Danio rerio: one gene and its partner. The protein of the gene in region 2 purifies or fractionates together with the protein of the main gene of each other region. This does not show direct contact. Links are inferred from orthologs where the notes say so. Each region holds a gene or a part of one and is shown on either strand. Other genes may lie near its edges. The genes, in order: nup107 and spast.

What was found.
Region 1: the proteins of spast (region 2) and nup107 purify together in Homo sapiens (affinity purification with mass spectrometry; 3 studies listed by BioGRID and IntAct, counting the BioPlex papers as one, with this or other methods). This does not show direct contact. The link is inferred for Danio rerio from reciprocal best matches to the Homo sapiens genes SPAST and NUP107.

The regions. Positions count from the first base shown.
Region 1 is NC_133179.1:23,347,019-23,351,327, forward strand, and holds the start of nup107 (nuclear pore complex protein Nup107), read right to left. Parts: upstream 2,912-4,309; 5' UTR 2,824-2,911; coding exon 2,816-2,823; intron 2,001-2,815; coding exon 1,915-2,000; intron 1,804-1,914; coding exon 1,711-1,803; intron 570-1,710; coding exon 457-569; intron 1-456. UniProt on the Homo sapiens protein: Plays a role in the nuclear pore complex (NPC) assembly and/or maintenance. Required for the assembly of peripheral proteins into the NPC. May anchor NUP62 to the NPC. Involved in nephrogenesis.
Region 2 is NC_133176.1:54,347,680-54,351,510, forward strand, and holds part of spast (spastin), read right to left. Parts: exon of another isoform or gene 3,357-3,831; intron 3,149-3,356; exon of another isoform or gene 2,846-3,148; coding exon of another isoform or gene 2,776-2,845; coding exon 2,609-2,775; intron 2,526-2,608; coding exon 2,386-2,525; intron 1,786-2,385; coding exon 1,692-1,785; intron 772-1,691; coding exon 697-771; intron 606-696; coding exon 534-605; intron 1-533. UniProt on the Homo sapiens protein: ATP-dependent microtubule severing protein that specifically recognizes and cuts microtubules that are polyglutamylated.

The DNA of each region.
Region 1 (4,309 bases), on a different chromosome or scaffold from region 2:
TAGCCCTCCTTTATTTTTTTTTTATATTTCCCAAGAGATGTTTAATAGAGATTTTTTCTATTATATATATATTTTTCTGGTTTACTTTAGTTTGACTGGAAGAAAACCTTAGGTCAATATTATTAGCCACCTTGAAAATGATTTATAAAATTGCATTGCCTTGAAATTGGACTCTGATTGAAATTACTCTGATTACTAGTATCTCACAAAAGAACTAGTCAAGTATGATGTAATGTCATCGCAGCAAAGACCAAATAAATTAGTTATAAAATATTTACGATTAAAACTACTGTTTAAAATGTGTTGGAAAAAATGTCTCTATTAAACATCACTTGGGAAATAATTGAAAAAAATAATACAAATCTAACAGGAGGGATAATCATTTCATCTTGATCTGTACATAGACTGTACAGAGGGATAAAGGATGTTATGTTTGTACAAACAGAGGTCACTCACCATGCTCAGGCCGCCTTTGGTACGAGGTGTGTTTACGAAGCGAGGGGTTCTGCTTCCTGAGGTCCCGAGGATGGCAGACACATCGGGATTCCTAAGGGCACTTCTTGGGGTGACTGTAATAATAGTTTTTAAAAAGCATATAAATACAGCATGCTCTTCACAAAATATAAGAGTAAATACACTTAAACTTAACCAGAATAAACATTTTCAAACTTTTAGATTAGATACAAAGATAAATAAATGTGACTCGCAGCATTATAAAAAATTTAAGCTAAAAATACCAATGCATAAACTTTTTATCATTCAGCTGACTATAAAACTTTAGAGAGTATCATTTGTTTATTTTCTATTTCTTTTATTTAAATGGTCTGTATCTGTTTTTTTTTAGTTACACCCTTAAAAAGGCAGGTACACATTTTGATGTACTGTATATGTGTTTATGTAAAGCACTTTGAATTGCCATTGTGTATGAAATGTGCTATATAAATAAACTTGCCTTGCCTTGCCTATATAGTGTACTGCATATATCTAATTTGTGATCATTTAATTTAGAAAATAAGATTAAAATGTTTTTTTAGACCGAATCAAATTACAATAGTTTGACTATGTCTTGCATGCAGTAATATTCATTTTGGATTATAGATCACATCTTATTTACTTCCAATTTGAAGCTCACTGCTATTTTTTCCCAAGAGCACAGTGCAGTTGAAGTTATTATCCCTCTTGTGAAACTTGAATTATTTCTCAAAGTGCTGTTTAACAGAAACTAGATTTTTTCCCCAACACATTTAAAAACAAAACAGATTTAATAATTAATTTCTAATAATTAAATTATTTTGTCTTTGCCATGATGACAGTACATCATATTTTCCCAGCTATTTTAAAGTGCAACTTAATAGTGAGGTTTAAACTAGGTTAATTAGTTTACCTAGACAATTTTGGTAAATTAAGCAAGTCATTGGACAACAGTTGTTTGTACAGCGGTCACCCAACTGATAACAAAACTAAAGGGGGGCTAATAATATCGACCTCAGCAGATTTTAAAGTTTTTTATTTTTATATTTCAGAAAAACTAAAAGAAATAATGCTTTCCGCAAAATAAAAATAAAAAAATTATAGGAAATACTGTGCAAAATGTTCTTGCTGTTAAAAATCATTTGGGAAATATATGAAAAAGAACACCAATTTCACAGGAGGGCTAATAATTCTGTCTTTATAGTTCATAGTGTACGTGTGCAGTATGTGTTTACTTACATGTCTGTTTAAGGCGAGGTCCAGGTGTTTGGCGCAGGAGAGGTCGAGCAGGGGTCGTGCTGGTGCCAGGAGAGTCATCCTGTGCCAACGGGACTGAACTCAAGAGTAAAGGGATAATAACATCCTTCCTACATGCTTATAACAATTTTTTTAGTGAGGATCATGGAGATACAGATAGTGTTATTTGTAATCTTAAAAGGATACAAGCAACTTTTTTGTGAGAACTCTTTCTGCGGGCCGCACGGGTCACCTCAGCGTCCCGAACCACTGGACTCAACCAAGTCTGACTCCTGCACAAGAATAAACACATTTTACATCCTACACATCATAACATCTTTAGTGCTGCAGAAGAAAAAATGAACAGTGTTAGGCTGGATGAACAACTTTCCTGGCCTTAATATTTTTTACCACCCATTATTAACAAAAATAAAAAACAACCAAACAAAATAAAAAAATAAATAAAAAAATAAACAAATAAATACTTGTATAAAGAATGACTCGAGGTGAGGAATTTTTGGGTTTTATAGAGGTAAAGTTGGTTTTATATTCTTCCTAATAATATCATTTCAGAAATTATATTATTCTGAATTGGCAAATCATATTAGTAGCCAACGATTATCCAAGTATCTGTATATAATGTTCATAGTACATCTGTTTGCAAATATTACCAATAGTTTTCTATAATTCCACTTATAACTTATACCTAAATCCTCCACTTGCTCCTGTTGCACTCCTTGTTAGACCTAACCTATATAATGTCTTGTACATGTGTAATGACAATGAAGTTCAATATAATCTAACCTAAAAACTGCCAGAACAAAGAGCGCTAACAAATGAGTACTCTTATGTGGCCTAAAACGGTGCATTTAAGCTATAATAGCATTATGTTCTAATTAATTTAAAAAATGAAACACAATATAAGTGATAAAAAATAAAATATGCTCTTTTCTGTCATGTGTTTTTATAGTCAAACTATTCAACTGACATGTGGAGCGGTTCTCTATACAGTAACTACATCCGGGTATGGCAGAAAGGCTATATAGCAACCAAAATAATCCAACGCCATTCGTAAACAACCAAAACAATAATAAAATGTAATCTTTACCATTCCATATTGTCAATATGTTCCTATCTGCTAGCCAAAGCTGCTAGCACACGGTTTGAGCGCCTTCACTTCTGAGGTTATTTCTTCATCTGTGCCGTTCATGTCTTTGTGTGAATCACACTGCCCTCTAAGGGAGTAGCTGAACGATTACTGCACCACTAAAGCCTGTCAGGCACTGCCATCTACTGGATACAGGAAAAATTTCATGCAAATCAAAATATCTTATTTGTTCTATAATCATTTTAAATGTATGCGATTTTGGGATAACATTTATTCCTAATTATCCTGTAATAATATAAGACTTTTCGAGCATATTTGTAGCCTTAGCCAATTCAAAACGTATATATTGCTTTATTAAACGCACGCGACGTGTAAGGGATTATTTTTTAATTTGTACAATAAATTAAAATGTCACGTCTCATGAGTGGTATTCGGGGGATGTTTGAAGGATTTTCCGTACAAATGTCACGTAGTTATTAACGTCTACGTTAATGTCAGGTTATTGCTCATAATAATTCGATACATAGAAGGATGAACGGAGATAACGTAACATGAGTTTATCAATTTTACTGCAGTCGTGACATACCAAGATATGTGGCCCAGTTCAGGCCCAGCTATAAGCTGTTAACTTGGCTGAGACTTGGCCCAAATGGTCCATATTTGGCCAGACTTTGTCCCGTTGTGCACCGCATTTCACTGCAGCATGTGGGCCAGGCAAAAGCTGATTGTGTGGGCCAGAGAATGTTTGCCATGTGGGTAAGAATAACAACACAAAATCAACAGTTGTCCTTCTAAATCTAGTGTTTGCCAAAGTATTGCTTATTTTATACATGCTTGAGGTTGTATAAGATGAACTTACTGTAATGCTTCGAAGCTTCTCTTCGTGATCTAAAACCTGAAAATACATGCATCTTAATGTTTCATCTCATAATGAAAATGCATCAGACAAAAATAATTGTGAGTTTGCAAAGTGGGCCGCTCTATTGTCAAGATATTGAAATTTCGAAGAATTTCAGAATGGATATAAGATTGTAATGGATTTTAATGACAAAGAAAGAAAACTTATTAATTCCAATATATAATTGTTTTCCATAAATGTTCTTCTCAATTTAAAACACATAATTTAGTACAATCACTAATTATTTTATAAAGTTTAATAAGCACTGGTCAGAAAAAGAACTTTGTTTAATTGTTACACAAATATCAGTATGCTTAATGCCAATGGGACACTATTTCACCCATATTTTATTTTGACAAAATTATATTACACACTTTGCTTGACATCATCTCAGCAGGCACACATGGGTTGGATTTAAGTCGTGATGTCAAATGACCAAAATTCAACGTTTAGCCAGCATCTATGGACAACATTATTTTGACGTCCAATAACAACATCATTAGACGTTGATATTTGGTTGATTTTAGGTTCTGTTGAAAAGTGACCAAAATCCAAATTCGATCCAACATCTTAAACCAACATCATATTTATGTCAA
Region 2 (3,831 bases):
ATCATGTCCAATCAACAGAATTTACCACAGGTGAACTCCAGTTAAGCTGCTGAAACATCTGAAGAATGATCAGTGGAAACAAAATGTACCTGAGCTCAATTTAGAGCTTCACAGCAAAGGCTGTCAATACTTATGTAAATGCCATGTGATTTTTCAGGTTTTTTATTTTAATAAACAGGTAAAAACTGAAACCTGTACGCCGATCTGATCGAAGCCATGTGATCCTTATGAATAATAATATGGTATTATTCAGATCACTCCCAAGCAAAGCACCATTACATTTTTGAAACCTTTTAAAACAGAAGTTACAAATCAAAGCCCTGTTTTCTGAAATCACATGACCATGCCGATTTGATACGCACCATGAGACCAATTTGATTTGAAACAGTTCGAAAAGATTCATAAAGCTTTGAAAGCTACATGAAGCAGTGTTTCGAAATCAGCCATCACCAAATATGCCAATCTTCTCTAGAGAAATAAATCACATTAGTCAACTGTATGTGGTCTCTATGCAACATCTGATGAATACTCACATATTTGGAGGTGAGAGTGGCAGCGCTGATGTTGAAGAAAGTAGCATTCGATTCCATTGCGACGGCTTTCGCCTATAAGGAAATTGAGAAGTTCAATTATTGTTCTGAGCTATGGCATACAAATATACACAAATGTACAAACTATATATTATTGGAGTTTTACCAGCATGGTTTTCCCATTACCAGGAGGGCCGAAGAGCAGGAGTCCTCTAGCTGGAGCCCGGAGACCAGTAAACAACTGAGGAGATCCACATAAAAGTCAATAAAAACCTTTTCACTCAATGTTCCTCGCTGATGGAACAATCTTCCCATTCCCATAGGGACTCCTGATTCATTAGTATCATTCAAACAACAACTAAAAACCCCACCACACCACATGACATCCTCAAAACATTATGCAATTCTGAGCGTGCCTCACACAGGTGAGGGGCTTGACAAACCACCTGTAGAAAACACACCCTTTCATCTCTCTGACACTTTAACAAACAATTGCACCAGTTTTGCACAAGACACTTTCTTATGACCACACATCTTAAAAAACAAAACAAAAAAACACTACATTTATGAAGTGAGCTTTGCACTGGTGAGTGGGCTTGACAAACCACCTGTAAAAACACACTTTGCTCTCTCTTTAAAACAAAAAACACTCCCCCTTTCTAACTCTAGCACTTAATTCTCTGAGAACTAACAATTATTTGTATAACTAGCACTTGTTGATTTGTATTGCCTCGACCTGTTGAATCACTGAATGCCTCCTCAATTGCAAGTCGCTTTAGACAAAAGTGTCTGCTAAATGACTAAATGGCTAAATGACGTAAAATTATAAATGCAACAATGCCAGTAATCCCAGTTTTGTAGAACATGCTTAATTGGTTCAACACTGTGGATAATCCCTCATATTGGGTTTAAAGTGGTCATTTTGTAAATTTTATCCATCACAAATGAATATATCTGAATACAGAATGAGCATAATCCAACAGTTGCCTGTCCTACAGATGCTCAAAGAGTTTGGAGCAACTTGAGGGTGTGTAAATGAAGACAGATTTTTCATTTTGGATGAATTATCCCTGTAAATCAGATTTGTTGGAAAGGGGCTCAGATCTTTAATAACTCCAGCAGCTCGAGGCTGTACAGATGTTGAGAGATGTGAAAACAGACCTCTGGACGTAGGGCAGGCAGGATGACGATTTCCTGCAGCGCCTGCTTGGCCAAATCCTGTCCTGCTATATCATCAAACCTCACCACAGACCCGCTGAAACACACACACACACACACACAACAACACAAAACATCAGCTTCAACGTGAAAACTCTTAATTTTTTTCCACCACATAATTTTGTGATATTTGTCACATGATCCAACAGAAACTAACATTATTATCACGGTTTGTCAAAGAGTATTTATTTGCTTGTTATTTTTAGGGGAAAAACTACTATTAGAAAATTTGGGGTAAAAAATATTAGTAAAAATATTAAGCAGTTAACTTAATACATAAAATAAATGTTTGGAATATGCACCCAAACATTGCTAATTAAAATAATTTTATATTTAAATACATTATTCTAGAAGAAAGCAGTTTAAAATCAATATTATAAAGGATTATTTTAATTTTGCACGGAAAAAGAAATATACAATACATAAACATGACTTTATGTAGAAGAAACGACTAATATTTTTTTATTTTAATATACTTAACATTTAAAGTAATCAACTATAGCACTAAAACAATAATGCATTGTAATAAACTGCAATATGCACCTAAACCTAAATATTGATTATACAAATCAATACTTGAATCTGTATTAAAACATAGCAAGATTCAACACTTAAATATTAATGTTTCTAACTCTACCTGTCCACGATCTCGTTGAGGATGAGGCTTGCCAGTTTGCTGTCCACATTTTTGAAGTTCTTCATGTCTCTTTTCCTTTGAGGTGACGCAGTGGCAGTGGTACTGGCTTTAACATTATTTTTGCCTTTGACTGTGGGCCCCTAAAAAAACAAAACACAATAACACAGTTCACACTGAGCTCCCTGTATAGACAGAATGTGAAGTCGGACCCTGTGAGACAAACCTTCTGATTGTTTTGAGGGCCGGTCCTGCTGCTCTGAGCTGCTGAGGGAGTGCAGTTCAGACCTGATGCATTCGGGGTAGATTTGGGAGGATTTTTGGGCCGCAGAGAAGTTTGATTTGTGATTGTGAGAGTGTCCTTCTTCTTGGAGACTGCTCCACTGGCTGGAGCTACAAAAAAACACATTAAACATTCAAAGACATGTTCATAGACGATATAATTTTTTTTGGTAATCTGCATTGGTTACTTAAAAAAACAAAAACAATGAACTTTTATAGAAGTGCTACTTCTATAAAATAGAAGTGCTGATATTAAATATATTTATGGTTATCTGTAACAGTCAATAAAAAAATATGATGTAAATTCATAGAAATGTCACTAGAATAGGGGTTGACTGATTATCGGTGCCGATATTGAACATATTTATGGTTATATCTATCTGTCAATTTAAAAACATAATGTCCTTTCATAGGAATGTCATTATAGAATAGGGGTTGACTGATTATCGGTGCCGATTTTAAACATATTTATGGTTATATCTATCTGTCAATTTAAAAACATAATGTACTTTCCTAGGAATGTCATTATAGAATAGGGGTTGACTGATTATCGGTGCCGATTTTAAACATATTTATGGTTATATCTATCTGTCAATTTAAAAACATAATGTACTTTCCTAGGAATGTCATTATAGAATAGGAATTGACTGATTATCGGTGCCGATATTAAACATATTTATGGTTATATCTACTTGTCAATTTAAAAACATAATGTACTTTCATAGGAATGTCATAATAGAATAGGGGTTGGCTGATTATTGGTGCCGATTTTAAACATATTTATGTTTATCTGTATCATCAATTTAAAAATCAGATGTACACTCATAAAAATGTTACCCTAGAATAGCTGTGTTGAGCAATTATCAGTGCTGATATAGTTATCTGTATTGGTCAATGAAAAAACCATGATGTAAGTTCATAGAATTGTCACTCTAGGATAGAGGTTCACTGATTATCGGTGCCGATATTCAACATTTTTATGGTAATCTGTATTGGTCAATTTAAAAACCTGATGTACATAGAAATGTTACTCTAGAAAAGGGGTTGACCAATATTAAATGTACTTATGGTTATCTATATCGGTCAATAAAAAACATGTAGAATTATAGAAATGTCACTCTAGAATAGCTGACTGATTATCGGTGCCGATATAAAACAATAATGGTT